Linked DNA regions of Zea mays. The protein of the gene in region 2 interacts with the protein of the main gene of each other region in a pairwise test. Links are inferred from orthologs where the notes say so. Each region holds a gene or a part of one and is shown on either strand. Other genes may lie near its edges.

What was found.
Region 1: the proteins of type 2 DNA topoisomerase 6 subunit B-like (region 2) and meiotic recombination protein SPO11 interact in binary tests that used the Arabidopsis thaliana proteins (3 or more experiments, as listed by UniProt). The link is inferred for Zea mays from reciprocal best matches to the Arabidopsis thaliana genes AT1G60460 and ATSPO11-1.

The regions. Positions count from the first base shown.
Region 1 is NC_050100.1:7,551,113-7,561,883, forward strand, and holds meiotic recombination protein SPO11, read right to left. Parts: upstream 7,140-10,771; 5' UTR 7,127-7,139; coding exon 7,021-7,126; intron 6,930-7,020; coding exon 6,818-6,929; coding exon of another isoform or gene 6,689-6,817; coding exon 6,612-6,688; intron 6,540-6,611; coding exon 6,438-6,539; intron 6,354-6,437; coding exon 6,280-6,353; intron 6,095-6,279; coding exon 6,078-6,094; intron 5,511-6,077; coding exon 5,441-5,510; intron 5,348-5,440; coding exon 5,311-5,347; intron 4,458-5,310; coding exon 4,410-4,457; intron 4,343-4,409; coding exon 4,284-4,342; intron 4,205-4,283; coding exon 4,173-4,204; intron 4,093-4,172; coding exon 3,987-4,092; intron 3,601-3,986; coding exon 3,480-3,600; intron 3,366-3,479; coding exon 3,302-3,365; intron 2,938-3,301; coding exon 2,811-2,937; coding exon of another isoform or gene 2,711-2,810; 3' UTR 2,670-2,710; downstream 1-2,669. Other genes in the region: phytochromeC2, read right to left, coding at 7,562-7,799, 8,406-8,699, 8,986-9,802, 9,903-10,771. UniProt on the Arabidopsis thaliana protein: Component of a topoisomerase 6 complex specifically required for meiotic recombination. Together with MTOPVIB, mediates DNA cleavage that forms the double-strand breaks (DSB) that initiate meiotic recombination.
Region 2 is NC_050100.1:60,880,750-60,891,465, reverse strand, and holds type 2 DNA topoisomerase 6 subunit B-like, read right to left. Parts: upstream 7,163-10,716; 5' UTR 6,980-7,162; coding exon 6,938-6,979; intron 6,839-6,937; coding exon 6,727-6,838; intron 6,632-6,726; coding exon 6,548-6,631; intron 6,254-6,547; coding exon 6,227-6,253; intron 5,622-6,226; coding exon 5,513-5,621; intron 5,435-5,512; coding exon 5,353-5,434; intron 5,176-5,352; coding exon 5,155-5,175; intron 3,908-5,154; coding exon 3,714-3,907; intron 2,702-3,713; coding exon 2,560-2,701; intron 2,316-2,559; coding exon 2,122-2,315; intron 2,001-2,121; coding exon 1,877-2,000; intron 1,537-1,876; coding exon 1,240-1,536; 3' UTR 988-1,239; downstream 1-987. Other genes in the region: probable isoprenylcysteine alpha-carbonyl methylesterase ICMEL1, read left to right, coding at 7,512-8,029, 8,338-8,414, 8,521-8,590, 8,664-8,744, 8,862-8,936, 9,021-9,122, 9,307-9,447, 10,266-10,331 and 1 more.

The DNA.
Region 1 (10,771 bases), about 53 Mb from region 2:
GTTGGGTTCCTGTCACTGCCTAGCTACCTTGCTTTGTGTCACTCATCAATCATCATCACTCACTCTCTCAACAGTCCCCATGATACCGACCCAACTCACCCGTACCGTAAATGCTTCCGTTTAAGATAAGAACCATACTACCTTTCTTTCATTTTGATGACGATATCATTAGGGCATGTACAGTGGGTGTTTTAAGTTGTGTCTTACAGTGTGTCTAGGGGGGTGAATGTAAAAAAACTCAAGACACGTATCTTGACGAAGACACAGTGTCTTAGCTCTATGTTCGAGACAGGAGACTAGCTGATTGGTCACTTTAATTTATTGAATGCTCTGATTGGTACAATAAATATCGTAAGACACATGTTTTAGACATGACCACTGTATTATGTTGTGTTTTAGTTGTATCTTATACTTGGAGTACTGTGCAGCAGTATCTGGGTTGTACATGCCCTTAGTCAATTAGCAGTCCGAGCCCAGTCATTATTTGGAGACTAGTTCATACATTTTCTGGGTGCAACAAGTTTGTGAAAAACGACGGCGCTCCATCCTATGCTCTAGTAAAATCTCATTGGGGGGGGTCCCGTCGGTCCCCGGAGCAGAGCAGCCGCACGAGCTGACGCGTCATGCCTCCAGAACCGGTCTTTGTCAGCTGGATAGGTGCCTCGGTCCGAGCGCTCGCTGGCCGCCGGCTGCTCCTTCCATTGTGTGCAGTGCAGGACGTTCCGATTCCGACGTCAGAGGTCAGATCAAACGTGGAGCTTTCTGCGTCGTGACATCAGCTCCTCCTTTTCTTTTCTTTTCTCTCTCCCATTCGTGCTGAACGACGACGGCTGCTGCTGGAAGCAACACAAGATAGAATATGGATAGAAAAAGCAGTGGACGAGGACGAGGCCACCCCCGGTCTTGGGAATGTTGCCATGCCGCCATTACTGAGGCTGTGTGCAGCGGCGTCCGCCAGACCGCTCCCTCCTCTCAATCTGGCGGCTGCAGAAGTCCTCTACGACCGCAACGACATCCTCTAAAAGGTTCCCCACGCAGCAGATGTAAACAGCAACACGCTGCAGTGAGCATGAGTTCGCCGTCCCCCTTCAACTGTGCATTTGTACGGTTGTTTTTTTAATAGGTGAAGAAAAAATGGTAATAAATGATGAATAAGATTGGATAATGATATTTTATAGTTATAGTGGGGTATAGGGGGAGAATATAGAGGAAACCGCTGCGGAAGATGAAAAAATAGGGGATGAAATGTTGATGATGTGACGCAAAAAAGTGATATAGAGGGAGAAATTTAGAGGAAACCGCTGCGGACAGTCTGACGAGAGCACTTCGACCGGCGAGACCACCATGGTGAGTGAGCCGAGCCGGGGCCGCAAACTGAGAGTGGCAATGGCGATGGTTTGTGAAAGCTCAAATATTACTCATAACAGCAGTAGAGGTGGGTAATTTAATTTATTATATAGATCCAATTGCTATTATCGGTGACGATGATTAGAGTCTACCAAATTAAAAGTTTCTGGTTATTATGAGAACTTTTTTAGTAGTTTTTTTCTAGCACGTCTACCAAATTAAACTTAACATACTTTAACGACCTATATTATTATGCTAGAATTATATATGTATTAGATAGAGGAGAGTGTTTGCTATGCTAGCACCTCTAGGTAGTGATGTGTCCTAGGCTTGATAGGAAGACTCTTGGCGTGCTCTGGCGGGAAAATAACGCTACTTTTGTTATCTTTTATGCTGACAAACAGTGTTGCTTTCTGATACCACAAAAGTGAGCCATATATATATATATATATGCTTCTCTTTTCTTTTATATATGATGCACCTAATCAGTTCAGTTTTAAACTAACTAGGTCATATATAAAATAACTGCAGGCTGAAACAAAATAACTAAGGGGATCATAACGCTACTTACTACTACCATTACCTGTTTTAGTTTTACGCCATCCTGAACCATCGTACTGCACTATCAATTAAGTACCAACAAAAACTTTACATCCGTTCAAGCCGCCTGCTCCAGGAATGGGCGAGAGCAGTAGTTGGAAGCAGCTGTGACATATAAATATATAATAATCAGATGAGTTTCACGGTGGCACGTTGCTTGTGAGGATGAGATGGTGATAGATCAACTTGATGGTTGTTCATTTTACTCCTCAAATTACTAAATATTGGGGACTAAAAGGTAATACATCAGATTTCCTCTCTTCTTTGGTCCTTTTTTTTTGTAATTTAAGGACTAAAAAAGAGAGACTAAAGTTTAGCCTCATAGAACCAAACATGCCCTCATTCTAATCCACAAATCAAATAAAAAAAGTGAGGAATGTCCTCAAACCAAACACATCCATGATATGTCTCGAGATATAACTATAATCAAACCAAACACATCCTTGGGGCCTATTTGGAAACTCTGTTTCTTAAAACCACAGTTTATAATACTACAGTTTATTGTATATCATGACATACATATGGTATATTTTATATCAGTCTAATCCAACATTCGTTTAGAAACACAGTATTTCAGTTATAGTGTAGAAGAGAAGACGTAGTTATGTACAAACAAAAAGTATTAGTAAAACCATGGTTTAAAATACATAGTTTTTAGATATGCTCCCAAATATCTTTTAGTCTAAAATAACATGTTATGCTCAAATACCACGATATTATCTTAGGATTAAGGAAATATTATGTTATGTTCTGAAACAGATCCTTAGTGTTTGCACATGATATGTCTCCGGATATAACTATAATCAGACAAAAAAAGATTGTACTCTATGACACATCCTGGACGGATACAAGAATGTCCAATCTTATAAATGCATGCCTTGTTTGATTTTCTGGGGAATGTACTCATGCGATAAAAAGGAAATGGAATTTGCGGATAGTGCCTCAATCTCAAACTTGACACCCTTTTGCAGCATTGCTTCCAACTCTGACCTGTCAAATTAGAGAATACATGTGAAATTCAGGGAGAAAATGTAAAAAATAACTCAGAATTCTTGATAGGAAATGATGCGTTTAATATCTTAAAATATAAAGTGCTTCAAACTATTGTGCCTTTACTGGTAAAAACAGGAAGCTATACAGTCATTGAAGCTAAAGATCTGGTGCTGAAGAAACTCAAACTCCAGCAACTAAATCATAAGAATGATGACTGTACAAATCAGATTCCACGAAAGCTCTAGTAAAACTCCATGCACTAATAGACCTCGATCTTGACCTGGAGATCACAATGATATCATGGAGGATATAATTGTAATACACCTAGTAAAACTCCAAAGCTGGTTCATTACTTCATTACCTCCATTCTGGGGCTTCCCTGTGTAAATAGCACCTAGCAAGAATGCCTTCAGCTTTCCTCCTATCTGCGCAGCAGAACACATGATTTCACAGGTTGGCATTTGACATACAACAAGAAACTAAGGAACATCTTCCAAAAAAAAGTATGTATGCCACTTGAATCACTACAGTTTATTCACCTTCAGGTGACAAACGAAGTAGGCAGCAGTCTGGAAGGCAATATTCTTCAAAATCAGATGTGAAAACTCCAAGCCACCGTATATCAGGGACACGCAACAAGTTTGCATCATGTGCCAATTGCTTGAAGAATGAAATTACGCAAGTAGCAGAGGTTGGTAAGTTAACACAAGTAAATATGTCATAATCTTGGGTTTCAAAGAGCAAAAAGAAATATTTTGGTCATGCTTGTGATAAGATGAGCAAAACGAGCATAATCATGTTTATTTTGAGGGGAAAAATGAACTGCTCTAATACACAGCCTTATTGCTAACGGGACTTCATAAAGTAATAGAACTTTCAAATGCAAAGAGGCCAGACAAGCTGTTGATTTAGGACGAAAGGTGCAGTATATGATCATGTCCATGGATTCGTTACCTGCAATTTTAACCTGTGAATCTGCTAAGGAAGTTAAGTTCATAGACAATAGATATAGATGAGCATAGCAGCATCAGATAAATCATGCCTACCAAGGAACCAAATTTATAGGTAGCCAGAATGTCGAAACCATAAGGATCTGAGTCCACTAAGCAATAAGCAGGCAGATGCAGCAGTTCAACAAGGTACCGCAGGAATCTAGGATGGAAAAAGAATGTAAAATTGGGATAGCGGTTGAGAAATATGCAAGAGGAACTTAATGAATAAAGAGCACATGCCTTCTTGTTGGAATATCTGGATAGCCTCTTCCCTGGGTTGACAATGCAATATCATGAAACTAGAGAAAAAATTATGAAAATTGATAACATCGGGTGAGAGTTGTTACTTACTGTAATAACAATGCAGCGATTTCTTTCACAGAACTTGTCATTGGCCAAACGCTGGAACACTGCAAAGGGACTACTGAAGCATATTGTACAAAGAGCGGAAATTATTAAATGCAAAAAAAAAAAGACCTGTCTCCTTCTCAACCACAAGTATGTAGTGGGCAACACTAACAACATCTGCAAGAGAAGAAAGAATAAGACAACTTCAGCTCACTATAATGCAATTCAGGGTATCAAGGGAGGAAATCAAAAGCTTTGCTATAGAGGTGTACTGGTGTAGGCACGTCTAAATCCGAGTTGTTAAACAACCATATAATATCTCAATTACAAAATTTGACTGGAAAAGATAAAAGGTACTCCCGATGTTTCAAATAATTCTTCACTTTAGCATTGTCCTAAGTCAAACTTCTCTAACTTTGATCAAGTTTTAGAACAATATATTATCACCTAGAAGTTCAATAAATGCATTATCAAAAGAGGACATATCTGGTGCATATGGTGCACATATTAAATCACCACCACTTATTTTATATCTAACGTCTTTAGTTGATCATTCAATTTACAAATAATACCTTCCATCACTACACACCACCACGTTGGAGGGTGTCCTTAGCAAAATATACCAAACAACTAGAGACGTTAGATCTAAATTGAGTGGTGATGATTTAATATGTGCACCATGTGCACCAATCTTTCATGTGCACCGGATATCTTCTCTTATCAAAACATATAACTAAAGTGAAGTTAGAGAGGTTTGATTTGGGACAAAGCTAGAGTGAAGTAGTAAACTATAACTTGGAAGAGGGGGAGTAGTTATTTAATTCAGAATGTAAGATTATGAATTTCTTTTAAAAAAAGAAACAAAAAATTGAAGATCTATGGTACCATTTAAGAGCAAAAAATGATCAGTGACTTTTTGCCCAGTGTGCTTCAAAACATCAAGGAAAGAGTTGATTTTTCACTACCCCCTCCCTTCTACACATTTCACAAAAGCACAAAGGGGTTGTGTTCCTAAAGTTGATGGAAAAACCTTTGATTGCCTCAATGTCAACAGGAATGGAGAAAGCCTGAATATACAGAAGGTAAAGCAAACAAATTAAATGAAATCTTATCAATAGACCAGTTAGCAAAATTAGGGGGCAGAGAACATAAAAGCTTACAGCATTGACGCTTGTTATACAATACACTTTCTTTTCGCCCTCCATAAATCTTATCCAGCCCATCACCAAACTAGGATAATGAAGGGAATAGACATGTGCACACAATTAAACAACTGAATAAATAACAAATAGTTCTATGAATATAACATCGCAAACCTAGCAAAAACAATGCAAGTAACAGCAAGTGTAATACGGAAATCATATAGAATTTCCAAATTCCTATAGTGAATTTAGTTAACACTTATGCTATATTGATTTTTTATTCAGATAAACCAAAGAGAACTCTTCATGAATTCAGACATGTTCTGTATCAAAAAAAATATATCTCAAAGTTGTGAACTGACACTGGGAAGAACAACAGATCCATCATGGCATCATTTCTTCCTCCTCTTCATATGCATAAACCTATACGGCTAAGACTACATTGAAAGAACGGTATCCCAGGTTCCCAACCCCACTAGCTCATCAAACACATCCAAATCATCTTTCTTTATATAATGGTGAGAAGCACACAGGATGATTAAGGAACAAAAAAAAACGGGTTTATTTAAGTTATAAAAAAATGAAGCGTTGTAAAATAATAGAAGAATAACAAACGGACATATCTTCAGAGCTTCAACTCTATGACAGTTCATACCCTTTCACTACAGGAACCTGCAGAGAGCCAAGGGAGCACAGTATTCAGTCAGATAAAAGGTTATGAAATTAAGACAGTATGTAATAGTCATGGTGCTGCATATTAGTGAAGGAGCAAATATCGTTGATGGCACAAGTCCTTTCTACAATACACAATGGAAGCTTCAGGGAAGACAGCAGACTAGTGGCACCTATGGACCTACCACGTTGAGATTGTGCCGGCTGCACTTGAAGAGTATGCAGATATCGTTGATGGCACGGTCAACAACTGCTACTTCTGCAGGGAGCCAAGATATGTGCAAATTCTAGTAATCCCGTATAATGGAATGAGGAGCAAACATTGCACCTACTGAGCACAGACCTACGAAGATGGAGGGGTACATGTAGTAGATGTCCCTCTTGGAGCAGTGCTTGTTCTGCTGCAGGAGCTGCTGCACCACGAACAGCACCCTCAGGAGCACATCTACGCATGAACAACGCATCAGAAAGTAATTAGTGTGATCACATAAATGCAAAGATTTAGATGTATTCGTACTGAGGCGGGAGGTGTGGTAGTCCTTGTGGAGCAGAGAGAGGACGTCCGTGCCGACGGGGATGTCGTAGCTGCAGGCACTGCAATCACGCACGAGCGCGCGCCCAGGGTCTACGGATGTCACACATTTGGGTGAAAATTGTTCGAGGGATGTGACGGTGAATTGGTCGGGAAGGAGATGATCCCGGGAGCGGGCGCGGAAGCTAAACCATGGGGACGGGGACGCAGAGTCGGCGGAGGAGCAATAGTTCCGGTACCGGTGGAGCACTATAGACGGGGAGCGGCCGGCGGCAACCTCTTCGACGATCCAGCGCACAAGCCCTGCACCATCCCCAACCGCGCGTCAGCTCCAGACGCTACAGGAGAGAGGGAAGATTTAAGGGCAGGCGATCGAGGAGATGAGTAACAAAACCTTTGATCCTGCGGAGGAGGAGCGCCGCTTCCTCCAGCCTCCGCCGCAACTGCTGCTCGTCGCCTTCGAGCGGCGCCGCTCGTCGCCTCTTATCCCTCCCCGCCATGGCGCTAGTTTTTTATTTTGATTTTTTCGAAGCCGCCATGGAGCTAATCAGCTAATCGATCGCGAAGAAACAGAATTAGGCTTAGTGGGCTCCGTTGGACTGCGTGGGCCTTCAAGAGCCCAACAACGAAGCCACCCTTCTCAAGAGGCGTAAATTGCCCTCAAGAAGAGAATACATAGACAAAGCATGGAGCCCATTCTTTATTCTCTGAATAAATTATCACTTTATCAGTATATATAGTCCTCTCAAGACAAAAAATTAACAAGAGACTAAGCACATATCTACTAAGATATAATTACTAGGATTAGGATTCCTCTTCTCCTATACTAGAAGTCCGTATGTTTTTCAGAATATCAGTCACTTGGCCAGAGGTACACCCTACACCCGAGAATTTGACACGGCCGAACCGTCACTGCAGTTCCAGGAGCATCAGTGTCAGAATTTACTTGGCGAAGGCTTGGACCGCTTGCTGCTGAGCTGGGCGACCGGGAACTCTATCAGGATGATGAACGAAGAGGTGTCGGCTTCTCGTAGGTACTGCAACGTGCCGCTCATCGTTTTCACCAGCTTCTGGCTTATGTACAGGCCGAGACCCTCCCTGGACACCCCTGGGTTGTGCTGGAACATCTCCTGTATCAGGGCCTCTGGAACGCCTGGAGCTGGATGGACAATCCTGCACATTGAGTCAATCAGTTACACAGCTCCCATCACCACCAATACTCGCATTCGCCACATTGCAGTGTATATAGAATGGCAGGGATAGCGCCAATTTTACACAGGGATCATTTCCATTGTTTCAAACTGCAAAGTGTAACTACATGCCTGAAGTGACATGTATCACTGCATCTTGGCTGGTGCAGTGACCAGGATAGATTCGACTCCTCGTGGGAGCGAATTTTAAGCTGAGTAAGCAGAGGTCTAAGGACCGGTCCCGGTCGTTCTCACATGGGCTATAATATCACTTTGTATGGATGTGACAGGGGTTCAGGGTTTTCTTGACCTACGTGAGAAGGTCGAATTTTTTTTAGGAGTTAAGATGTTCAGAAGTGAATTTGCTAGCATTAGGTCTTATCTGTTCCTTGTCAACATACAATCCTTTTCGTGGATTATAACTAACACAATTAGGAGCACTGCGAAAGTTATTTACAAGAGACAAATGTTGGAGTTGTGCTGAGTTAATAGAAACTAGATGTACAATTTAGTAGTTCACTTATTTGTCAAATCATCCTTTCAGTTCAAGAACAGCTATCGAAAGACCAAGATGAGAGTGCCGTATTACCTGAATTCCAAATGAGCAATCTGCATGCCAGACCCAATGTTTTCCTTCTTGGGAATGACCTGGAGCACGATATGTCCTTCAGCTGGTTGTGTGAATTGAAGGGCGCAAGCCAGATAATCTGCTAGGACCTGCTGAAGCCTTATATTGTCCCCGTAAATGTACATGTGTGACACTTCCACAGGCCAATCACGTTCAATAGAAATACGTTTTTCCTTGCCCAAAGGAATGCCTTGCATCAGGACCGTATTCAGAGCTTCCTCAAGGTTGAACTCTACTGTGTTCGTCTCCATATAGCTGTAACAGCAAGAATTTGTTTACCAATAGTTTAAAAAAATTGCCATGCATGTATAACTGAACTGGTCAGCCTTTTCATATGTATACATCTTTAGCACTACAAAGCATTAGTACAATGAACAAAAAATTCATGTCTGAGCAATTCTAATCATGTGAATATGAAAGCAAGTATATATCTTTATGTATAGTGTATGCTGTTTATAGATCCCTTCTAGAACTGCCACAAAAACGACACAAATAATTAAATCAACATTGCTACAGATGATTCGGACAATACAGAACTTACCACTGTTCAATGCTTTCAAGATCAGTGTCATGTAAAATCTTTTTCAGCTGGTCCTGACACAGAACATTAGATGAAACAAGTTGCCGCTGATCCTCTGTCAATTCGGAAGGCTTCAATAAGTTATAAGTAAATTGCATGCCATTGAGTGGGTTCCTTAATTCTTGACGAATGTAAGTTAATTCTTTAAAGCTGTTTGTAGCAGCTTGTTCAGACATTTTCTGGACCTCAAGAGCATGCTGAAGCTCTGGGCTAGCCACATGCAGAAAGCAAAGAGCGCCAGTGATTTTACCCTCAGCATTTGTTCTCTTGTTCACTGTCAGCAAGGATTCAATATACTTCCCACCTGTGCCGAAGAAACCAAACAGGAGCTTCTCTGGATCCTGACCAGAAATCACTGCATTCATCAGTATGCTAAGTTTCGTTAGAGTAGCATGATCTTTCACCCTACAGCCATAATCATGGAGCGTGAAGACCTCCCCAATTAACAACTTATTTATCGCGTCTTCCCTCTTCATACCAGTAATCTTCTGCATAGCTTTATTCCACTCTAAGCAGGAACCAAGATCATTGATCATAAATATGGGAGGGATGAGCTCACTGGGGTTCTTTATTATGGCAACATAGTCTCCTTGTATCCTAGTATACTTATCCATAATCATCTTCTGCCTGGTCAAATCTTGTGCTACAAAGCAAACTCCAATGACTTTCTCTGAAAGATCCCGACTACAGCAGGAGTTAATCATCAAGATAACTGGACCACAACACTCCTGTTCATGGAATGTTTTAAGCTTGATTTCCAGATTTTGCTCTTCAATTCCTGAAACACAAGGAGACACTAAGCTGTCATAGAAAAAAATGGACACGTTCAGATTAAGCTGGGAACCACAAAAAGATCGACTGAAAGCATAGTGACAAACCTTGTAAAGCTGAGTCCAAAATCTGCTTAACCACTTCAACAGAATCAGCAACAACAAGATCTATCAGAGGCCTCCCTATGGCTTCCATTACAGGTAACCCTGTTAGTTCTGCAGCTTTTTTGTTCCATCCATTTATGTTACCGGCAATGTCAACAGCCAAGACAGGGGCAGTTGCTGTCTCAATTAAGCGGACCATCTCGTTTGTAACTGTTCTTAGTTCAAGTAGCCCCTGTAACTTCTTCATATCATCAGATGGAGCTTTTACAATGGACCTGATGTTGTTTCTGTTGGCATCTTCACCTTGCAGGGAGTCACGTAATATTAACTGCAAAGAATGGATAGCATCCATTTCAACATCCTCCCAGGGAACACTTCTCCATTTAACCACCTCCAAGAAGGCCTTGAATGAAGATCGTGGATGCATCTTCCTGCCATTGTCATCTGCGTCAAACGGTTCATGCTTAGCCCCACTCCACTTGATCTCCTTTGTTGTGTGTGATCGGAACCAGAAGATAAAATTTTTGGAAGAGATCTTAATGGCCACCATGCCACACACGACTTCACGGAGTGCAGCAGCACCAGGATAACCCGCTTCCACTAAGCTGTCAGTACTCAGCCCAGTTGAACCATCATGGTTCTCCTGCAGCCATGTGGCAATGCTCTTAATCTCTGACTCGGACGGTGTTGATCCGAGCACCAAAACCTGGTTCTGATAATACAATGCAGCTCCATCGCACTTTACTAGATCCATCACATTAGGTGACTGGGTAAATATCCCAACAAGAGCATCCCGCAGGAGCATATCACAAAGAAGGGTTTGCGTTCTGAGGATGTGCCTCTCCTTTGCCTGAGCAGCCAGTTCCACCTCC
Region 2 (10,716 bases):
GTTAGGTTTCGAGCCTGGAGGGCTGAGTGGGAATCGCAATCGCGAGCGAGCAGACTGCAGACGAAGAGGATTTTCACATGCCGACTGTTCCGGACTTCACGTGCTATAAATAAATATACCGAAACTTAAATCCCATCCGAGATTCTTGAGCATTGATTTCATCTCAATCTTCATGAATCCGGTTTAAGCTTCCAAACTAATCCTAAAGTTTTTTTAAAAGAAAAATGTCAAATACTGCAGTCTACAACATTTTTGTTGCCTATTTCTCAACAGCAAACATTTTTTTAGGAGTATGTATAAAGTGTTACAGATTTATATTTCACCCTATTTCACGAAAACCACACTTTTGCTTTTCACAAACAAATACAAAAGAACGAAAAGAGCACCAGTCTGGTGGGTGGGAAATGGATTTGTGAAATGTTATTACTACAAGATAAACAGATAATATGGTTCTTCAAAACACAAAGAAGAAGCTTACTCTAAACAGCGAAGCGTGATCTCTAAATGACAGGGAAACTACGGAGCAGCTTACTGCAATTTTACTAGGCCGTGGTCTCCACTTTGCCTAAAAAGTTGCCCCAAGACTAGTTTTGATTAAACTGTAGAAGTTTTGGAAAGGCTGCAGGCTGCAGCTATATTCCGTTTAATTATTTAATTTCTGCAATTACGTTTTCTAAACATTGACGTAGCAACTGCTACTTAAACCGCCTCGAGTTCAGCGAGCGGGTTTAGTGGAGTCTGGGCTACAACAATTAGAGATTAGAGATGGCAACAGGTATATATTTATTATCGGATTATCTATATACGCTCTTAGTACTAAATCTACTCATACTTATACCCCATGCTCCATGGGTAACCCATACTCGCTAAGAAGATCTTAAATTATAATATTCCGAACACTCAAATGTCAAATAAATACATAAAAATAAGTTTAACCTGAAATATAACAAACCAAATGATTACATAACTTGAAAGTTAAATAAACGATAGTCGAAAAAGGGTTTTATTTTAATTTTATTAGATAATAATAGTTGTATGGTACAGATATATTTTACTCACGGATATACGGTGCGTGTATCGTACCGTTTATCCAACGGGCAGGGATTGTTGTTCATTAACATATCCACCAATATAAAAATCATCTCATATCCACCTACATAAGTATTCGGGTTTTCGACACCCATTGCCATCTCTAACTACACTACAACTCTACGAGACGGTAGACGGGTGAAAACAACGCTAGAAATCGGAAGCCATGTCTTCATCTCCACCTCCTTCGTCCAGCTCGCTATCTTCATCCAGCTTCTCGCATTCGAACAGATAAGGCACGTTGTCCTCTGAATTATCCTTGGTGTCATTTATCTCTATGATGCGGATCATCTTCTCGCAGATCGACGACTGAACAGCTCCTCCAGAGACGTCTTGTTCGGAGCCTAGCCCAAGAAGCGCAAAGCATTCGCCTTGGAACTCTTCATCGGTGGATGACAAGATCAGCCCAGCGATTGATTCCGCAAGGTCAGGAACGTATTCACGAACCTGAAATGACATAATGAACCGAATGATTTAGAGTGCTTATTATGATACAACCTGAAATGATATAACTAACATATGGTATTCTTTTCATGATAGAATTTTATGGTGCTTATTATGATGTCACGCTTAGCTTATCTTTCTCTATACTAACTCTAATAAATAGGTGACCATTTGCAGCGTAGTTGCGTAGTTGATAGAATAAGACAAATTGTCCTAAGTGTATGATGGCACTTTAGCCTTAGCTTCTACCCAAATAGCAACATAATTTCTTCAGTCCAAAAAACATACTGAATAAGTTAATCAATAGTAGTAAAAAACTAAGAAATATGTACAAAGTGCATACCCTCTGGCCATGGCAACTAAGAAAATCTCCTGCATGATCTGCTTTCAAGTGAGTTAGAGCAGATTTGAGTGCCTTCCTCAAAAGGTATCTATCCTGTGGAGATCCCTGCCGTTCTTGCATAGCAGTGGCTGGAGAAAGTCAAGGATAGACAGAAAATCCACCCTCTACATATAGATTGAGCTTTCACTGAAAAAAATAACTTGTGGATGAAAACAAAAAGAGGATGAAGTGTGCAAACTGGATATCATTCGTGGTAAGTATGAATGGAAATATCAATACGAGCAAATGCCATGTTATCCCACTCGAGAACAGCGTTTCCGTCATCACCCATCAAACCTCCTTTTAACTTGAAACCATAGCTTTGCCAGTCTGTGCTCATCAACACATCAAAAGAGGACTGCAATATCTGACAAGGTACAAAATCTTCAAAGTACAAAACCTGCAATTGTTGCAGCCAACAATGGCATAAACTATAAGCTCAGTTGAATCATGCTTAACTCTAATATACTTTACGAGAGTTATTGTACTGTTAGTAAGTAAGTTATAAGTCAAACGAACAAGTCATTTCCATTGTCAAATTAAAATAAGATTGTCTTGGCATGGGGAATGTACCGCACTAGGGCCTAGGAGAAAAAACTATTTAGGAAATGAAAATGTATAACTAAAACCTTCGTGGTTCAAACCTGCGTGGACGAGCAATTTGCCATACAACAATCTGAATCAGATGCAATATGTGCAATCACTATGACTACTTCAACATGTAGTCGGTTAGCTTTTCTTCTTTCTACATGGTTTGCTGCTCCAGTTCCAATCTTTAGAAGATCTCTGAAGTAAGAAGGAAGAAAAACTAAAACTTACTAATCATGTTATGGAAGCACACCAATCTGTCCTGACCCGTGAGGATGCATAACACCACACTCAGATGATATGCAAGTGTTCATTAGCATGCCAATGAGTGAATAGACAACAGACCAGACTACATAAAGGTTTGGACATAGGAGCTTAGCACATGCATGCCAGAAAGGCCGAGAGAATGGGCTTGGGCTTGGGCTTGGGCTTGGGCGATTAAGAAATGGGCAAATACACAGTGAAGCATGGGATGCTGTTGCATGTGGGCTGCCATCAACAATTTTCTCATGGTTAAATATAGGAAAGAAGATACAAAAGATCTAATGCTAACAAGTGTGAAAATATATCTTAAACACAAATCATGCTAACAAGTGTGAAAATATGTCTTAAACACAAATGAATGCAAATTTCTTAAAAAAATCAACGAATGCAAACATAGCACATAGCAGTGATTCTTGGTTAGCTTTCTCACATAGGGCTATACCTAAAACAAAAAACATGATGTCAATGGACCTGAAAAAAGGAAAAAAATATACAATTGAATTCAAAGAATAATGGAAAAAGCGATCTGCTTAACAAGATTTATCAACAGCAAACTCCAAAGAACACGGAAAAGAGATTCCAGAAATATCATTTAGCTTTCTAAATTGTGAGTTCAGGAAAAAAGCTAGAAATGAATACAGATGATAAACTACTGATGAAAGATTCAAATAAAGACAGATAGCAGAAAAATATGATTTGGTTTTTAAAACATCTCATTTTGAGTAAAGACTAGAAGTAATTATAAACAGAATATTGGTAAGCTCAGAAAAGGGACACAAGCAAATCAAAAAGCACAACCCCTACCTAGATGCCCCCAGGTAAGAATAAGGGTGACTTCAGCATGAAAATTTTGGAGCATATATTAGCAAATTCAGTAAAATTATCTTAGCAGCATAGTAGTATGAGAAAAATATGTAAGACAGTCATGATGGAAAGGTTTTTTTACCTATCAAATAAGCACATGCCACACTTGTCGCAAGAATTTACATGGGAGAGTGAGTAGTCTTTAAGACCAGAAACTAGCTGGTCAATACTTGATGCCGTAACAGAATGATGCACATCATCAGAATCTTGTGGTAGACAGACATTTCTGGAACCAGTGTTGCCTGTTTGCTCAACAAAGAGCTCACATGCTAAATTCTAAGTACAAAATAAACAGCCAAACAGGAACTTAAGTTGTCAGCTTAAGGAAAAAGAGGCAAAACAGAGATTCTCAAGGTACATGCGTCCTTGATACTCAACAATCGAAACTGAAAATATTCCACAACCAATTCAAGTTAAATGTCACACTCGGACGGTCACACCACAAGTGACCGACAGCTGAAAAATGGTAATCACTTTTAGACCTGTTATGTTTTTTTGTTTCAGTTAATCAGCTCAAGGACATATATACACCTATTTAGTTTATTGATAACCTTTTTTCCAAGATACTTGTTACCAATATATCCGTAGCCAATGCACTTCTAATCAACTATCTCCAGCCATTGACAATATCAAATATATGTTGCATTCTAAATGTATTCATGTTCTTATCTAGGAGGTTTCAACTTCTAGAATCATGTTGTTGTTTTTTTCCAATCCATCATAATAAACATTGACGCGAAAGGGCCTCTAGCTGAATTGGTTAGGTGGTATGAGTAGCACTCTTCAGGTCATGAGTTCGACTAAGCGAATTTCAAGCTAGGATTAAAAAATCCTCTCGTCTGTCCCACGCCAACGCACAAGTCTAAGGTCTAGCCCTGGCCGCGACCGTTCTCACATGGGCTACGGTACCGTTGTATATGGTGGGACGGAGGTTTGGGGTTTTCTCGATCTGCATGAAGTCTTCTTAATTGTAATGCCGTGGGGCAGTCTTACCCTCCGCAGGTCGAGTTTTTATAATAAACATTGACATAAGCAAATTTGGACATCAGTTTGTTTCAGTCAAACAAAGCCATACCCACACAAATATATTAAAACGTATGCTTCATATCCTACTTATTACCAAAAAAGAATGAATCATACCTAAAAGTACAAACATGTAAAGAACTACAATAAAACTAAGCCTCATGAAGTGAATAGGTATAATGCAACCGGTGTGTTTGAAATTTTTAAGATCTGGATGGCATTAAATTTACTATTGTTTGATTAAACAATACAAAGGCAAATTAAGATGAATATGCTAAAAGGCAACTAAACTAACTTAACCCTTTGAATTAGAAAGAAAAACATAAGATAATACACATCAAACAGCTTTGTTAATCAAACTGAAGAAATTAAGGATAAGTAAATCTGAGATTGCATAAGAGTAGAAATAAGCCATTTAAGCTGCAAAGGAGCATTGAAAATGAAAGTGTGAAATACTACACTTCCAACTTGAGGAAAGATAACAGTTCAGATATACTTACTGCTGCTCTTAGCACTTGTATCTGCACAGGTTAAGAAAAAAATATCAGCTCAGACATAATGGAGCCAACAACACAAAAGTGACATACTTAGCTGCGCAAAATTGACACTTAATTCTACCGTCTTTGCCAATATATTCTACAAATACCCTACCATAAGATCATTATTAGGATTCTAATAATTATATGTTGAGAAATCACCTTTTTGAAGAAACAAACCAACCATAATACAAAATCATCAACATCAGCATCATTTGAGAGACAAAGGCAGACTTCAGTTCCACTGTGTTGAGAAACATATCCACAATTTAATCAATCAAGGTATTCATTAGTCACATCAAACTAAAAACAGACAGCGTACCTGAATCGTGCATGATTTTTGTATGCGGTAGCCAACTTGCTAAATCTTGCACTTGATGTCTCTTCTTGAAGATTAATTTGATAACGATAAATGGCTTCATCATTGATTCCTGAATAATGGGCAAGAAATCATCAATGACTGCACTCACAATATCACAAATGAAACAAAAACAGCCTTCTCAGATATTTTTTGCCTTTTGGTACTGATTTGTACACCCAAGAAGTGTGCTAATAATTCCGTCATCTAAATAGATATACGTAGGTAGAAGAAAACTTTGATGTACTCTTCTACTATATAATCATGTGTGTTTTTAGGTTTAGAACTTGCATATTATGACAAACTGTAACGAAAACTACATCACAAAAGAAGAAAACATATAAGGAGAAGAAAAAAGCATGAATAACAAATGAAAGTAGTGAGGAAATCAAGATATGAGAAAATTTCAGTGAATCGCGGTGAGAGTCTGACCACCGAATGCTCCCATCTTTATTAGGATTCCATTTATCTGTTTCTTACCATTGCTACCAAGTTTATCATTTTTTTTGTCAGGTGAATTCTCAAGATACCAACCTGCTCTGTTGGACCAGCACAACCAACCAACCAATTTAGAATATGTAGAATTAATGAACTCCTAGTACAGTACTTCGCATCAACCGATATTCATAACACAAACAGAACACTGAACTACATCGTGCAGTGAAACAGAAAACATACCAGTAGTTGTGACTAAGAGTGTGCCATCTGCAAAGCAGATAGAAACCACATAAGACAAAGGAAGATGAACGAAAAACAAGAATTACTCCATTTCTGTTGTCCAAGTCATTGTCAGTTGTCACTCAAAAGTTGGTACTCCATCTGAAGATTCATTTAAAACTATGGCCGTTAAGGACAGTGTAAGTAAAGAACATTTGACCACCTTACCATCGAACAATCTTTAATTCTGGATGTATTAACATTATTATAAACGAATGTCAAGTCGTAATCACTAATCGCATTGATCTGGACGAGCAGGTGAGCATCACAGTGATCACATACCCCATCTCTCTACGGGAATCTCACGCGCCAGGGCGTCGAGCTCCAGGAACTCCTCCAGTTTGCTCCCCACCCCCGTGTCCGAAACTGCGATAGTCCACCAAATGTTTGCGTTAAACTAATGTTACACGGCAACGTAATAATCGGAATTAAGGATGGAACGCCGCCGCAGACTTTGTTACCGGAGACGCGCAGCGGCGGGGAGCTGGCGGGTTCGGCGGGGCGCTTGAGGGAGACCGTGAGCCGGCACGGCAACTCCGACATCCGGCAGCGCTGCACCGCCCAGTACACCAGCTGAAACAGAGGCGCGGAAAATTCTGTTAGGAGGTGTAGTTTGGAATTGAGATCGGAAATGGGAGGGGTTTATCGGGTGCGGGGCAGAGAGAGGTTTACGGAGTGGAGCAACTTCCGGTGGGGAGAGGAGGTTGACGCCATGGTTAGGTTGAGCGACAACGCCCGGTGCTTCGGCTGGCGGAGCAGATTACAAAAAGAAAGCTATGGATCGTTGAGCCGGTCGCCGGAATTCCGCCGCCGTATCGGCGCGCGCCAACCTCGCCGCTCCCGTCTCCCCGGAATTTCTCCCCCTGGAAGAGGACGGACACCAGGATGGGCCGTGAACGTCTGAACGAATTGCGGTAGATGGGCTGACAGAAAAGCCCAATGCATGGAAGGTCGGCCCAGTATAATTGGCGAGCTCGGCAGGTGGACCGTGGATCTTGTGCTCCAATCCAACTGAGAGGTATGTGTAGCCCAAGAGTCGTTTAGGACCGCTAGAGAACACAGTAATTTTGTATGGATATCAGAATTTCTGGAATTTCACAAAAACATAAGGTAAAAAAATTCTCGCGTTTCAAACCGGATATGGGCCGGATAGACGTGATCGGACGTCACATGGGCCGGCCGCGAATAAAAAAAAGAACGGGACAAGTCGACGTTATAATAAAAAAAATACTAATAAGAGGTTGACATGTGGGCTCGGGACATGCGGGGTCTACGTGTCAGCGTCCCGGTCACAGAATCACATCTTCCTGGCCGCCATCCGCCGGACGGAGCACCGGACCCGCCGTACGCCTCCGTGCTCTCGCTCGCCGAGGCCTCTCCGCGGGCCGCAGCGCGGTTCCGCCTCGGTGGCCGCCGGAGCTGCTGCCTGGCCACAAGAAGCCGTCGCTCTCCCAGCTTTGAACCGGTTCCGATCCGCACCACGGAGAAGCCCCCGCCTCGGGAGTCTCGCGTCGCCCCGATGAAGGTGGAGCTCGCCGCGCAGACCTCCCAGACGAGCACGCCCCTGCCGCCGTCCCCTGAAGCCGCTTCTGCGTCGCCCCCGGCGGAGGATGCGCCGCTCCTCCCCGACGCGGGCGTGCGGCGCCGGGCGGCGTGCGGGCGGTTCGCGCAGCGCAGCGGCTCCTTCCGCCGCGAAGTCGGCCGGGCCGCCGCCGAGACCTTCCTCCTCACGAGGCTCACCCTGATCCTCCTCCGCTACCTCGGGTACGCATCAACTCCGCTGCTCTGAAACTAGTGTACTGCAACCTCTACTTGGACTTGGACAGTTTCGCCTGTGCATTGCTTGCTCTCCTGGTACACCTACGTGCTCAATGTCATTTGCAAATTTGTATGCGCAGAAAGAATGTATGTGTTGAAAAAAAAACGGGACAATTTGTGTGACCTTCCATATTTATCATCAATCTAAGTGATATATTCTAGATATAAGTTGATTGGAAGCGTGTTCAGACGGCCTTGTACGAGACTACATGCTTTTGGTCAGTTTATTGTAATAACTTGTTAAATTTATGCAGGATAGGCTACAGATGGATTCGGCAGTTCCTAGCCCTCTGCTGTTATACCCTCTTGCTGATGCCAGGTTTTATTCAAGGTTGGCGTTGCTCCAGATTTGCCATTGTTTTCTTATCTGCTTAGAATTGTACTCATACACTGCACCTGACTGTGCTACTACCTTAATGGATTTTGCTCTACTCCAGTTGTATATTATTATTTCTTCTCTAGCCAAGTTCATAGAAGTGTTGTATATGGAGATCAGCCAAGAAACAGGTACTTTATTTGATTCTACTACCATTAACTAATATTTCTGCTTGATAAACCATGCAATTAAGTTTTATTGCAGATTGGACCTGTATATGCCCACTAGTACAACAGGGTTAAAGCCGGTCGTTGCGTTTGTGACTGGTGGAGCGTGGATCATAGGGTGAGTGGAAGTATGTACTATCTTGAACCCCTAACCATTTTTTGATATTCTTGCTATTGCAAAGTCTGATTCTGCCTTGACTCAATGACTCTGCATATCAAATTGTATATTTCTCAGTTACAAAGGGTGGGGAGCCCTTTTAGGCAGACGCTTAGCAGAAAGGGGCATCATAGTTGCATGCATTGATTACAGGTACTCTGAATGTATTTCCAATTATGCAAAGCAGCATAATCATTCAGGCCATTGTCACTGAGGATGTAAATGCTTTGTTTTCAGAAACTTTCCTCAAGGGACTATTGGTGACATGGTAGAAGATGCTTCTCAAGGAATAGCTTTTGTCTGCAAGAATATAACAAGTTATGGAGGTGATCCTAGCAGGTTTATAGCCTATCCTTGTGTGCATATTTGCTTACAATAAAAAACTGAAATAGTTCTTGGCTCTTGCTTTTTTTCCAAAATATTTATGTTCCTAAAAGAAACATGCAGTGTATAAAAAAAACTGAATGCAAAATACCTCTGTTCTGAGATGATATATTTAAAGTACTTGTTCTTACATATGCAGGATATATCTTGTTGGACAATCAGCTGGTGCACATATTGCTGCTTGTGCTCTCTTAAATCAGGCCATTAGAGAATCCGGTGAAGGAGATACTTCCTCTTGGAGTGTATCACAGCTAAAAGCTTACTTTGGTATTTCTGGCGGGTAAAACATTCATGTCTCTTAATATTATATAGCTTACAGAACAAAAAAAATGCTATTTCTATTTGAATTTGTGCATAGTGTCAGTTGTCACGGGTCTAAATAGCATTGGTGGGTCACTGAGGTGTTGGGCCCAAAACGGACCAGGCCTAATGTGAACCCTGAACCATACCCATGGCTCATGGGTACAATAGATCAGCATAAAACCCATCTAGGTCTAGGATTAGGGAAAGTCCAGGAGATAGGATTGCTTGTAAGTCAAGTCGAGTCAGGTTGGATCCTCCCTATAAGTATAACGGAAGATGTATGTGTGTTGAGATTAAGCAAGAATAATCTAGAGGAAACCTTCAACCTCTCTCCCCTCTTCTCTCTCAAGCCCCGACGGCCACACCACCCACCATGACAGCCTCCCCCTGCTGCTGCCCCCTCCCTTTAATCTCCCTAATTCCCCTAATTGTACCTCCAATCCTTCTCCCAAGTGCCTCAATAGTAGATCTGTTACATCAGTAGATTTTTCTAATATTTGCAGCCCTGCCAATTAGAGTAGGTTTCTAGCTGTAATCTATATGTCATTGTGAAGTGGAGAGACTATATGACTACTCTACATTCAGTTGATGAATTTAGCCTTTTCAGTAGTGAGTGGGATGACAACTTATAAGATCCTTTTATACAATGCTATAAATTATGGACCTTTAAGCACTGTACTTTAGCATTTATTCATGTGCCGCTCATTAGATTGAATAGAAGACAGTGTTCTGTACAGACAAAAAATGAATCAGTTGGTGAAACGGGCTTCAACTTTTTGTGTATGATCTTTACAGGTACAACCTCCTTAACTTGGTTGATCATTTTCATAGACGTGGCCTTTACCGGTCTATCTTTCTCAGGTTCACTGTTAGTATTTGTTCATGTCTTGTAATAAAATCGTGATCCTGTGAGTGTATTATGACTTCATTTTGATCATATCCTTGCAGTATCATGGAAGGTGAAGTATCACTCCAGAAATTCTCTCCACAAATGATGATTATGGAGTCATCTGCTAGGTCTGCAGTTTCTTTATTGCCTCGCATCATCCTTTTCCACGGAACAAGTGATTATTCAATACCTCCAGCTGAAAGGTGTGTCACAAAGTTTACATTTATTTAACATTGTGTATTGTAGATCCATTTTGTTTCTGTTTTACACGGTTAAGGTACTGTTAGGATATTAAATAAAATAAAATAAAAGGGGACATTTGTGTGTGCAAGCAGTAGAGGTAGAGGACAGTTAACT